Caenorhabditis elegans: one gene and its partner. The protein of the gene in region 2 interacts with the protein of the main gene of each other region in a pairwise test. Each region holds a gene or a part of one and is shown on either strand. Other genes may lie near its edges.

The links. Proteins that work in one complex are often made in the same cells at the same time.
Region 1: the proteins of pfd-6 (region 2) and pfd-5 interact in a two-hybrid assay, tested with the Caenorhabditis elegans proteins (2 studies listed by BioGRID).

Annotation. Positions count from the first base shown.
Region 1 is NC_003281.10:7,195,323-7,200,617, forward strand, and holds pfd-5 (putative prefoldin subunit 5), read right to left. Parts: upstream 3,563-5,295; 5' UTR 3,562-3,562; coding exon 3,442-3,561; intron 3,393-3,441; coding exon 3,297-3,392; intron 3,254-3,296; coding exon 3,122-3,253; intron 3,071-3,121; coding exon 2,960-3,070; 3' UTR 2,829-2,959; downstream 1-2,828. Other genes in the region: F37C12.18 (CDT1 domain-containing protein), read right to left, coding at 1-46; exos-9 (Exosome complex component RRP45), read right to left, coding at 1,007-1,180, 1,237-1,540, 1,595-1,683, 1,735-1,867, 1,911-1,993, 2,040-2,204, 2,250-2,341, 2,383-2,486 and 2 more. UniProt on the Caenorhabditis elegans protein: Binds specifically to cytosolic chaperonin (c-CPN) and transfers target proteins to it. Binds to nascent polypeptide chain and promotes folding in an environment in which there are many competing pathways for nonnative proteins.
Region 2 is NC_003279.8:7,280,616-7,288,492, forward strand, and holds pfd-6 (putative prefoldin subunit 6), read right to left. Parts: upstream 3,148-7,877; 5' UTR 3,126-3,147; coding exon 3,068-3,125; intron 3,021-3,067; coding exon 2,950-3,020; intron 2,905-2,949; coding exon 2,780-2,904; intron 2,642-2,779; coding exon 2,515-2,641; 3' UTR 2,349-2,514; downstream 1-2,348. Other genes in the region: rde-2 (SH2 domain-containing protein), read right to left, coding at 38-48, 124-531, 577-796, 845-1,246, 1,293-1,352, 1,471-1,569, 1,617-1,766, 1,827-1,977 and 1 more; F21C3.6 (DUF4200 domain-containing protein), read right to left, coding at 3,345-3,413, 3,512-3,595, 3,740-3,932, 4,828-4,986, 5,092-5,147. UniProt on the Caenorhabditis elegans protein: Binds specifically to cytosolic chaperonin (c-CPN) and transfers target proteins to it. Binds to nascent polypeptide chain and promotes folding in an environment in which there are many competing pathways for nonnative proteins.

The sequences.
Region 1 (5,295 bases), on a different chromosome or scaffold from region 2:
TACGAGAGCGTTCCTTCTTTCTTTTTGAATCCATTTTCTTGCTCATTTTATTTTATGGTGATCCGAGTTCCGTCCGATTTGTACGACGAAAATATTAGAAACTGATTTTTTTAAAAATCGAACACTCTTTTAAAATGAATCTTGATAAGAGTTTGCGTGAACTTTTTTTTTGAATTTACACGGAAGATGCATAAGTTTTTAGCTAAAACTAATTTGACAGGTATATCCTTCAGGGTCAGATTAGGCACTTCCCCCGATCGAGGTGTGACAGGGATTCTTCCTCTGTCGCCCTCTTGGCAACGAAACGAGCAGCATCATGGTGTAATGATGATTTCATGGTGTTTGTGGAGCATTATACTTAAACGCAATGTTTCGCTGTTTTTGCGTCAAACATACGGTACCTGGTCTCGACACGACTAAAATTTATTGAAAAGGGTGTGCGCCTTTAAGGATTACTGTAATTTTAAAATCTCGTTGCTAAGCTAATATATTTATAATACGAAAAATTTAGGAAATTTTCGTAGCTACGAAAGTTTAAAATTACAGTAATCTTCCAAGGCGCACAGCATTTTTAAATTACAAAACCTTGTCTTATCGAGACCGGTACCGTATTTTTTGAACAGAAATCGCAAAATTTCGTATCAGCGTATTAAGAGACCACCAGTTCATGAGAATGCCTACTTTCTGGCACGAAAGTAGCGGAAGCAGAGAGCATGCGGCGAAGAGAGATTTAGGTGCCTTCGCTACGAGATATTAAAACAACGGTAGGCATTCTCATGATCTCATGGTTTCTTAATAATATAAATATTGCATTGGTTTTTTTCTCTATCTCATGTCAATCTCTGTTCAGGAATATTTAGCTGCTAAATGTCTTATTCAACTGAATCCCGTACTTCCCGAATGAAACTTTAAACGATTCATAAACACAACAAGGCAACATTGCGAACAAATAAAAATGGGAAGGAATGAAAAAGACAACAAATTAAAGAAATTAGCGGCATCTAAACTACTTCTTCTTTTTCTTTTTAGCATTCACGAGGCTATCTTCGGCATCTGGAGCTTCTTCCATTGGCACGTCGTTCAATACTGTTTCGGATCCCAGTGTCATTGTTTGAACTTCTTCCTCCTCGTCGTCATCGTCGAGTCCGTCAAGAAGATCGTTGACTTCCTCTACTTCGCGCTTAAACAGTAATAAATAGTAAAAAAATGTTTAAATAAAATCTTAATTTCACAAACCTTTCGGCTGGAAACTGCAACAGTCTGCTTCTCAGTCACTTCAACTTGTCCAACACTATTCTGAATAGTTGTAAGTTGCTCGGCGAGCAATGTCTCCTCATCAACATCTTCTTGCTTGACTGATCCGACACTCAATGGATTCTCATTAAGAATAACACTTGGTTGGTAGAGACTTCTCTGTGTGAACGACTCAGGCTCAGTTTTGATTACAGGAGCACGAATTTGACGAGAAGCTGTAGTTCCAGCTGTGAGAATGAGTGATGGAGTGGTGATTGCAAAACCATCCGGACGTTTGAATGCGCTTCTGAAATATTTTACAATTGAATAATAATTTCAAAATTTGAAAATCTAATGTTACCTTTCAATTTGATCCTGTTTAATGACGTCACTAACAACTGCAGTGAGCGCTTCCGCACGAGCCATTGCCAACTTTACGCAACGCTCGATCTTAATAATTTTAAAGTCATATTCGAAAATTTGAAATGCGAAATTGAATACCTGCTTTGTTGATAAAATGAGATTTGTGCTCTGATGGAGGGCACAAACTTCGCGACGCTTATTGCAGGCAACTACAATTGATCCATCAAGACATGCAGTTTCTTTATCTGTTGGATCGATGACTACAATTTGTCTGAAAATTAAAAATTAAAATGAATTTGTGACAGAAATCAAACCCTTTATCCAATAATCCGATGGTTGTACAAATTGGCATATGGTAAATGTTCAATGGAACTGGTGCTTTTTCGTATTCCGAATACTGAAATTTGTGATTACTTAAGAACTTTAAAAAAATTCAAACTCACGATAAGAGTGTGATGTGGTTCCAAAGTGACATTTGGTCGTCTAAAATGCTGAAGAGCTGTGATAGCAGCGAGACAAGCACAATCAAGAAGACTTCCATCTTCGTCAAGAATTCGGACATCTACTCGAATTTTCCAAATTTCTTTTCCAGCGCGAATGCAGAGAGCCTGGAATTTATTTTTGTAATTTAAGTTCTCTACAGCTCAATTCACCTCAACATCAATACACCGAGAATCACGAATAATAAGCTCCAATAGACGAATCAGTTCCATTCCTTTGCTCCCGAGACGGTCATGCTCATTGGCTAAAAAAAGGATAATTGTTAATCAAAAATAGGAATCTAACCATAATTAGCCATTGGACTCAAATCAACGTCAATATTAATAACTCCTTTGTGTGGTCTCATTGACGATGGTTCAGCGATTTCGGCACTTACTGCAGCCATTACTCTGAAAATTCAAAATTTATGACTATAAATAATAAGGAAAAACTAACGAACTTTGTATTTCCAATAGTGCAAATTGCAGTTCCAACTTCTGCTCCGACCACTAACTTCACATCCCGAAATTCTTCCAGACTACGAAAATCAAATCTCTGAAAAAAAAATTAAAAATAAATCCAATGAAACCAGTTTACTTTTCCAATTTTCAGCGCCTCTAATATCACAGCCTTCTCGCAGTTTGTCACCGGTTGAACTCTCATTACTTCTGAAGTTAGATTTTAAAGTAATTATTTTTTCGAACTGTAAGTACTCAAGGCGTTTGAACGCGAACCACTAGCTAGAATACAAAAAAGAAGCAAGAAACATATTATTTTGAACAAGAATCAATGCAAGGTGTAGTATTAAAATCGAAAATTGATAACAACAATTTGAATATCGGAAAAGCAAGAGATTTTCAGAAGTAGATTTCTCGGCAGACATTTATTGTGTATTCATCGTGGCGAGTTGAGACTGAACCTTGGTCTGGAATGCGTCCGAAATATAGGCCCGAGTTCTTCGCTTCTCTTTCAGAATTCCCTCAACTGTCTCAACCTGATATAAATAAGATTAAATACTCAAGTAAGACACTTTCGATGTTCGTACCTGCTTTGTAATATGTTCCTTTTTACGGTCAAAAATTGCTTTGGCTTTCTCGCGGTCCAGCTCCACGAAGTATCCAGTTCCGATCTCCACCAAATGCTTTGATGGATCAGATAGTTCAGCACGGATGTAGAGCTGAATAATCATTAATTATTAAAAAAGTACAATGAAAATATACCGATTCAGAAAGTGGAATGAGAGCTGTATGTCCTGCAGTTGCAATTTTCACATCGTCCAAAGCAGAAATACTTTTTTCGTTCCGCGTTAAAAGACCCTGCAAATATTTTTATTAATTTGAAAAACAAATACGAAATTCAACAAACTTTAAGAGCATTGAAAGACTCCTGGAAGAAGTTTAATTCTTGTTCGCAATTCTTCTGGAGTTCTCCGAGTTGTTGCAAGCTGAGCTCTGACAGCGGTACTCCTTTCGGTTCTTCTGCCATTCTAAAATTATTTATAATTATTAAAGAAGAATATTTATAACAATCTTTATTGAAATTATGATCTAAAAATGGATAAAAGGATAATGAAAAAATAAGCATTAAAAATCGGTGAAATTTTCTCGAATTGAACCATTGGCCTAGAAAATTCAAATGTGCGCGGCCACGGCCACTGTTGGCGGTAATTCAAAAATAATATTTTAAGGAAGGACGAAAAGTAGATTTTTGCTCTATTCATCAAAATATATTGAAGGTGTTTTTTTTTTAGAAAAATTAATTGAATAATATTTTATGGAGATTCCAACCAATTAATACCGATTTTGTAACTTTTATTTGAAGACATTTAGCTCCAACACCAGACTTTTCTCCTTTGTTTCCCTGCAATGTTGTGTATCTTCTTGAGGGTATTCCCCGATTTCGCCTTCACTTTTTTATTTGTTGAATCATAAAAAAATTCCGGTGTATAATAAATTAGACTGGGATACTTTGAACTATTAGTTCGAAAATCAAACATCATTTGCAGTTTGGAACTTCTTGGCGGATCTGTTTCATTTGAAAAAGGCATAACTGAAATACAACATTTTTTGGAAAGGTAAAGCTACTACAACCCCTAGAATTCTATAAACTCACAAAGATCCCTTCATAAAATTGTTTCCTTTTTATAGACGAATCTTCTCGAAGTGGAAAAGTTGTTTTGAACCTTCAAAGATATCACTTTCATCTCCTTATCATTCAATTTCCTTTTCTCTAATCTCTCTAATTTTTCCAATTATGTCTCAAAATGATAACGTGAAAGAGACTTTCAAAAGTCATCTTCTTTCTATTCTTTAAAGATTTTCTAACACCAGTTCTCATATCAAATTCTCTATTTTTAGAGACTTATCAATCAATTAGATAAAGATAGAAATGACGTTGATCACATCTCTAAAGGTTATAAGCTCCGCCTATTGTTTTTAAGAAAAGTACAGAGATTTTCATGTGATATTTGACATATAAAACTGTAAATATGTATACATGAATCCACGTGAAAGTCTTTAGAAACATTTCCTTGTTTCAAAAATGATCTTTGAATCTGACCGTACTTCTTGTACTTTTTGAATTTGATCTATAAGTTACCGTAATCAAGATAGGATTTGATAGACCGGAAGTTGCTTCAAAAAGAAGACTTTGATTTATATTTATTTGTTTCTTTTAAAATTCATTCTCTGATCTTTTGTATTCGCTAGAACTCCGTCCAGATCTGAACTTTGCAAACCCTTACTAGGTAATTGCTCTTGTACTTGTCCTTACCAAAATTGCACTCTCATGTGTGACGTCACAACTTTTCCAACTGTAGTTTCATGAAATTAAATCCCTCACGTTCGTTTTTTTAACTTTTCACAAAAAGCAATCCCTGTTTACTATTGTATTCAGTCATCACACCTCTTATTAATATGTCTATATTATGATAACAATACCAATTTTTTGTTTTTCCGTCTGGAACAGGTTGCTACACTTATTTTGAAAAGTGACGAATGATCTGATCAGTGAGGTTGGATTACGGTATCAATGACCATTATGTTGAGAACTTTCGGTCTCTTCTGCTAACAAAAAGTGGCCTAAAAGATTGAATATGGCCTCCAAAGGTGTCATTGTTTTATTGATACAGTTATCAATTAATCTTTAGTATCAGAAGTTACTGTAGTTTTATCAGAAGTTTCAGTTTTTCCTGACCTAAAGTGACAGATGTTCTGATCC
Region 2 (7,877 bases):
TTTGAACCCATAACGTGATTTGTCGATTGTGCAGTTTTTACTTTCGAACTGAAATAATAATTTGAATAGAAAACCAAGAATTCTCCTAGGTTTCTTCGAAAACTCGGTTTCCCTCTTACTTACCATTCATGAAATATTGATTAGAAGACAATGGCGGAAGCTCTCGAATATCTCCATTTGTGAACTGTTGATAAGCTTCACCTCCCTTTCCAATATGTAATGAAACATTTCCAATTGGTTTTCGATGAACAACCCACGCGATTAGGTCAAAATCTGCTGATAATTTCGAATTCAAATGATTCAGAAGACGTTCTTTTGGAATTGTGACAAGTACTCCATTTGTTGCTTTCAAATAATAAAAATGATGATCCGAGTTCATCTCTGTGTTGTCATGATATTGCTCCACTACTAGTTCAGGTTTTGAAAGTGCGATTTTTACTTTCATTTCAAGCACTCCTCCGAAGCATCTGACCGAGTTTTTAAAGCAATCAATTTTAAGGAGAGAATCTGGCGTGTCTGGTTTCTTTTTCACTTAAAATTAAAGTTTTTTTAAAACATTGGTAAATTGTAAAATACCTGCAATATGTGTATATGGAATCTTGAAAATGAGCCTATCTTTTGTTTCAATTCTACGAGGCAAGATATCGAAGAATGCCACGTCTCCGAGTTGAGGGGATCTTTCCAATCCTTCACACGATCTTTCTTGAAGCAAAACGTTTATAACGTCTCTTTTGGCTGTGTACAAAATTGCAAAGCCATCGATTTTTTGCACAACGGTGCATAAAGCAGATTGAGGCTGAAATATGGTGATGAAGATTAATATTATTGTTCTGGCATTACGTACTTTTTCGGAATCAGTTTTATCTTGACGAAGCAGTTGAAGCATCGTTGGAGCTAAATCTTTAATAAACGGTCTCATCGGAATATTAGATGTTCCACGTGTTCCGTATGTATCTTCATCATCAATTTCATCTTCATCTGATAACTGATTTGAATCAATAACTGGTGCTGCTCGACTTGAGATTGTAGTCTGGGACAAGGATGAATCAACTTGATTCAATTCGATACTTTGGCTTCGAAAAGTTTCCGGAGGTATTTCCCGATTCTCTGACACAACTCTAGAGGAATTGTACGAATCAGATGTCTGCGAGTTCATTTGAGAATGCACGTCTTCTTGATGTTGACTTGATTGTTGATCTTGTACGTCGGTTTCGGGTGTTTGAACATATCCATTACCAGTCATAATCTAAAAATGTGATTACTTGAAAAATTCTGAACTATAAGTCACATACATCCAACAGTCTTGTATCATGAAGATACTGTACATCAGAATCAACGACTGGATTCGGGAGCTGAAATTATATTATGTAAACTGCAGGAGGTTGTGGCTTATATGTTCTGGGAAATTTTGATAAGCAAAAACCAAAATGTGAACAATTCAAAATGAACCAGGACACTTTTGCCACATACTGATTGATATCCATTTCGGCTTACAGCATCACAGGTGTGTAGCTTTTGTGGATCTTCATGCACACTCAATGCGACCCAACCTGCCAGAGATGCTTGAGCCTGCAATATTTTTATTTTAATAGTTTTTTTTAAAATCGATAACTTACTTCAACAATAAAACTGCGTCCATCATAGTGTTGACATGATGATTTGATCAGACTAAAGTCGTCAATAATATGATCATAGGAAATATCGTAACTGGTGAAATCATACAAATTATTTTTCCGATCTACTATTACATCAAATCGAGCTGTTATCTGAAAAATTATAAAAATCCGTACTCTTTATTTATTAAAACTTTTTCCATTTGAGATTACCAAAATTTCTCCTTCATCGTTAGCCTCATACTTCGGAAAGAATCTCGCCGATGAATTTCTGTGATTCGGCAAAACGTCCCAGTTTTCATATCCACAACTATTTGAGGAATCCAATACGTATTGTCCCACGAAGTTCTGACAAACAGTTAATCTAAAATTGCTAGTTAATAAAATCAGATAAAATAATGTCTAACTTTAGCCAGCGTCCTATCTGCAGGCTCTGAATATTTCCACTGATTTCGACAAATCCATCGATATTTTTGGTATAGAAAAGATAATTTCTGTTTCCATATTTATTGTAACCAACTACCAATCCATATATTTGGGTTTGCGGTTGTTGAATTTGTGGTTGGGGATTATACGACGATGATGGCTGACTTTGAGCATAATAGTGATTTGGAGGAAAATAAGAATGGTACCCATTATGCATCTGAATAGCAAGAAAATGAATATAGTTATAAATCAGAACTGATGTAATTAGCAATGACTTTTAACATAGACGTGAGCACAAATGGTATAAAACAGTTTGAAAGCATTTATTGTAAATGGTTCCCCGAAACAAGAAACTTATTTTTTTCATAGAAAAATTAATGTGATCTTCTCGTTTCGGAGAAACACCAGAGATGAAGAATAGGCAAAAAATAACAAATTAAGAGCAAAAAATATGAGATTCATAGAACAAACTGGATTATTTCTTCTGTGCTTGGGCTGCTGCTTGAGCCATCATCTGGAAGCTTTTTTGCATATTCATCACCTTGTCTCGCTGTTCCGTACACTTCTTCGAAATGTCTGAGATGCTGGCTTCCACTCGTTTGCTGAAAATTGTAATTAAAGTTTTGTTGCATTTTAAAACGTTTAAAGGTAAAATTTATTTGTTATTTTTATTTGTTTCGTGTAAATCAATAGCGTGCAAGAAGTAATACTAAAGAAACATGATAAACGTTACAACTCACGTCTCAGAGTCGATAAACTCAAGCCGTTTCTCCACAGTCGATCGAGCCTCCTCCAAATCTTGACGAACAAGAACCGCTCCGATGAGTTTGTAGACTTTCGAGTCGGATTCCATCAGATCAAGCTCCTGAATGAAGATAACATGAAAACTGAATCTCAAACTTTTTCTTACCGCTTTCACATTTTTACTCTCAGTTAATCTCATTTCCATCTCTTGGCGACTCGTGAAGTACTTTTCGCGGTCTATAATTAAACGATTGAAAAGATTGTTTAAATTAACAGTTACTAACCTTTTTCAAGAGTTCTGAGCTTGTTAACTTCTTCTTCGAATTTAGCCATATCAGCCATTTTGATCGTTTTTAGTGGGAAAAGAAGTGAAAGAAAACAAAATTGTGTTTAAAAATCTAGAAGAAAAACGGGTTCTGCGCCATCCTTCAAAGCGCCAGCAAGCTTTCTTGACGCATTTTCCGTTTTTGGCGGAAGTTCAAAACTGGATTGTATATGTTAACTTCAATTTTGTTATGCTTTTGCTAAAATTTCATTCAATAGTGACAATACGAAATATTTTCAATATAGATATTTCCAGAATCGTGAAAACCAACTTTGCATGGAATCTTGATAATATTCTTCGCGTATCTGAAAGTTTTAGCTTAATTATATACAATAATTAAATAAGTTTCTTGTAAGTTCAGGGTATTTCCCTAGGTTCTATAAACATAAAAATATATTCTTACCTGTTTTGTCTTTTTCAATTCTGACTCTAGTTTTGATAATTGAATTTCAGAAGAACGAAGTCGGTCTCCAGCAGCGTTGAAATGCTGGAAAAAAAATCAATTTTGTTTTAGCCTTGATCCACTTTTTTGAAAGTCTAAAAAAAATTGAATAAAATATTTAATATACACTGTATCCAAATATACTAATAAATCATAAAACAAATCGTAAAACAGAAACCATAAACTCACCGATTTTTCAATTTGTTGTGTTTGAATAAAATCATTTGAATCGGTATATAACTGCACTTTGATTGCATTTCTTGACTCCCGATAATCACTCATCACATTCTCAACTGCTTTTTGTCCAGATTCAGCGTCTTGAAATACTTTCTCGAATATTTCTTGGCGTTTACGAAATTCTTTCTTCTGATTTTCCGTTTTTCTGAAATTGTTTGAAAATTCAACAAATCAGAATGTTCACTTTATTTTATAACAAAACGAAATTTGAAATTGCAACTTTTCTAATCTTTACAATCACTCTAAAGTGAAAACTACAAGACCAATAAGGGATTCGCTCCGCCTACGTTCAGACCAATCAGTGACGCTACTCCGCCTTCATCCGTTGATTGTTTCAGTAGTAGGCGGAGATAGTCGCCGATTGGTTCTTATTAGGAAAGTCGCGTTTCACGTGGTGTCAGGCTGTCTCATTGCGGTTTGATCTACGAAAAATGCGGGAATAGTGTTCCAGAAAATTGTGACGTCCGCACGCTCTTCACCGTGCGAAATCAGATGAGATGTCTGCGTCTCAATTCCCGCATTTCATGTAGATCAAACCGAAATGAGACGTTCTGGCTCCACGTGGCGTTTACGTTAGGTTTTTATCGCTGCTCTTTGTTGATACTACAGAAATTGAAAATTTTCGAGTACTTCAAGACAAACCCCAATTCAATCAAAACGTTGCCAACTATTTTATAGGGATCTTAAATAGTTCCAGATTAGTATTAATTCATGCTACCCAAACTTTAAGTTACGGAAAAAAAAAAGTTTTGAAACTTAGTGATGTAATGCCAAATATCAAAGTTTACCTCACTTTAATACGAATATACCTATTTGATTATGTTTCTGAGAAACATTTCAATTTAATAGCTAAAAACCAACATTCCACCTACATCGATTATCATATCAAATTGCTTTTTTCCACCTGTTTTATGAAAATCGGTAAAAATGGTTGAAGAAATTGACCAACAAACATGACTTTTTGCAATTAAATATTTTTTTATGAATAACAAAGCAAAAGAAATAAGTTCCTTATAATTAAAAAAGGAAATTACTCCTACCTTTTTGCAAGCTCCGCCTCTTCTCTAATACGATGCTGCTCCAATTGTTCAGCTACCTTCTTGAGCTCAATTTCCCTTCGCTTTTTTCTCCATTTTGTACGTTCCCGTTCTCCACGTTCACTTTTTGTCGGTGACGACGATGGCGATGACTTTTTTGTTCTGAAACGATAATTGGATGGTCCCCCGTCCTAAAAATGGACATCTGCCGTTGATCGACAATTAGTTTGGCGCCGAATGGGTGCCGACCTCCTCTGAAGAACTCACCTAGCGAGCTCTTCTTTCTTTTTTCTTTTTTCGATACCGCCCGTTTTTTTGGCCATTTTGCATTAATTTTCGGAAATGATTCAAAGTTTGCAAATTTCTTAACTAGATATTCAAAATTTTGATTCACGTGTACTCCAATGAATTGCAAAATTGAAAAGTGACACCTCAACTTTTATGAAAAGTTAGGAATAATTTGTTACTTCCAACTGTGTTGGTCTACAAAGCATTCTATATATAATACATTATATTTAAACCAGCCGTGGACCGCACCTACGGCGCGGCCCCCGACTTTTTGAGAAAACACATTAGATATACGGTGTCTATCGCGGACCTCGATCGATGTCTGCTGCGCATTTAGCATAAGGTTTCCCAAAATTTCGTTGCTCTGATCAAAGATCAAACTACATAGGGACAGAAGGACACGCGCTTTATATATAGTAAATGATGATATAATGAGCCAACACAAAATATGTATCATTAAATCATTATATCATTAATGATATTTATCATTCGAATATTAAAACCAAATATATTTTATTAACTAGTTGATACCACAAAACTCTGCAAGTTAATTTGATGGCTTTGAAGATTTGAATATCATTTTTAAATATCCAATTCATGATAATAAGTTATTTCATATTTATATAAGGAATGAAACAGTTTTATATTTGTTCAGCTCTCTGGATAGTTTTGAAACTCTTGCTAAACATTTCAAAAAACATTTAATACATTACCACTTCTAAAATGTCTCATCCATTCTATTTTCTGTTTTTCCGACTCCCACTTGCTAATAGATCCGTGCCATTTGTAGTATTTATTTTCTGCAACACAAGATTTCGAAACCAGTTGAAAGTAGAGTTCCAAAGCGTGCCTAGAAACCACTTTACGTCAATGTGAGTCAATATGTACACGAAAAATTGAGGAAAAAGTGAAATAGAAGATTCTCGGAGTTGGGGCCAACTTATCACGCCAGTGTTACCCGTTAGTTTCATTGTTATTGTTTATGTTACTGTGTATTTACGTTTGGTTTTTTTGCCACGGAAACTTCTCATATACTTTATTCATAAAAATTACGTTGGACGAAGGGCGTCTCAATATACATTTTAGTTGGCAGCTTGCATCTAACTGCAATTAAAAATGTGTTACCGTATATTTAAACATTGCAGTCTCCATCCACCTTCATAGATTGAGCATTCATAATTGATTTACACTGCGCACAGCTAGATCCTCGCAGCATTGGTTTTGTGGACGCACGAATCGAAATCTAAGATTTAACTAACGGAAGCTTCTGGAAATTAGTAATAACCAGAGAATATGCGGTGACTAAAATGTGTTTTTTGTTGTTCTATAGTTTTGAAATTGAACATTAATCCATGAGAAACGAAGACATGAGCTTCCAGCATGCAGGATTGAGATGAAGGTAATTTGAATGAGTTACTATTAAATATGTTCGTTTGAAAGAAATCACATGCGAGGGTATTTCTTGAGCAACAACACGCTCGAGTGCAAAGTCTACAATTAATACAAAATGTTCATTAATTGGAATAATTTTTGACGAAAACGTTAGGCTGTTGAATTACTGTAACAATAAGATTAAATTAGAACATATAAGTGAATCGTACAAAAATATTGCTAATGAGAAAATTATTGGTTTTCAACAACTAAAATTACTTAAAACTAAATACTTATCTTTTTAAAATTAATAAATGCCTCCCAGTTATTTTAAAACATATGAAATCACATGAACCTCCCCATTCATACAAATGTTTCAAGTTCATATGACTCTTGGCTCCTTGCTCCAGATCGGAGCCAACTGTTGCCACTTTGCTGAGTCATACTTCATCAGTTCCCCTTTTCAGAATTTTTCATCATTTTTTCTTTCGTTTTAGAACATCAAAAGTCTTTTTGCACTTTAAACTTTTTTCGGCAACTTTTTACTTTCTTACGCTTACGCAACACAATTCCCTCAAACTTTTCGTTTCTTCCTGGTTTTTTTCAATAGTTTGTGTGTGTTACTAAAAAAAAATCGAGATCGAGGGTCGGAGAAGGCCTACAAAAACCCGTTCGTGAACCATGGCATATTTGCACAGTACATAATAGTGCAGGCACTGGGTGACTGCCTCCAGTGTCACGAAACGTTGGAGCTGGAGCTGACTTTTGAGGCAGCAGACTGTGAGACGGTGCCACCCGGTGACCATGCACTTTGCAGACAAACAGACCCCGGGCGCCGCGGCAGAGCACCAAAACTTTGTTGTCTCTGTGAGGAGGGGCAGCAAACGGTTCAGGCGCCGATTTGGAGCAACATTGAAAGTTTTTGTATTGATGACCCGTTGATAAAGAAATTGATAACCGAACAACGCGATAGTTCAAAAATAAAATAAATTTTGAACTTTTGAATTGTTTGACCGGTCATTTGAAAGATGGATTGTGATTACATAAGGCCCTGTAGATTTTCTCAAATTTTCATGGTATTATATTTAGTAGGATTATTTAATGAGAGTACGAAAAAGTTTGGTTACGTACGTACGCCATACAACAGCCAAAAAATCAGAGTTTCTCTATTCTGAAACTTGTTACCGCTTCAGGCTCTTTGGGCCAAACTTGGGCAGAAAGCTACCAAGATATTATTTGCAAGCTTTTAGCATTTCATTTTTTTCCAAATTAAAAGAAAAACTACGCCTTCCCAAGTATTCAATAATCTATTTGTTGCCAATGTGTTCTGATAATTTACAGTGAATTGTATAATTACAAGATTCAACTTTTTTAAACACCATTTTTTTTGGTAG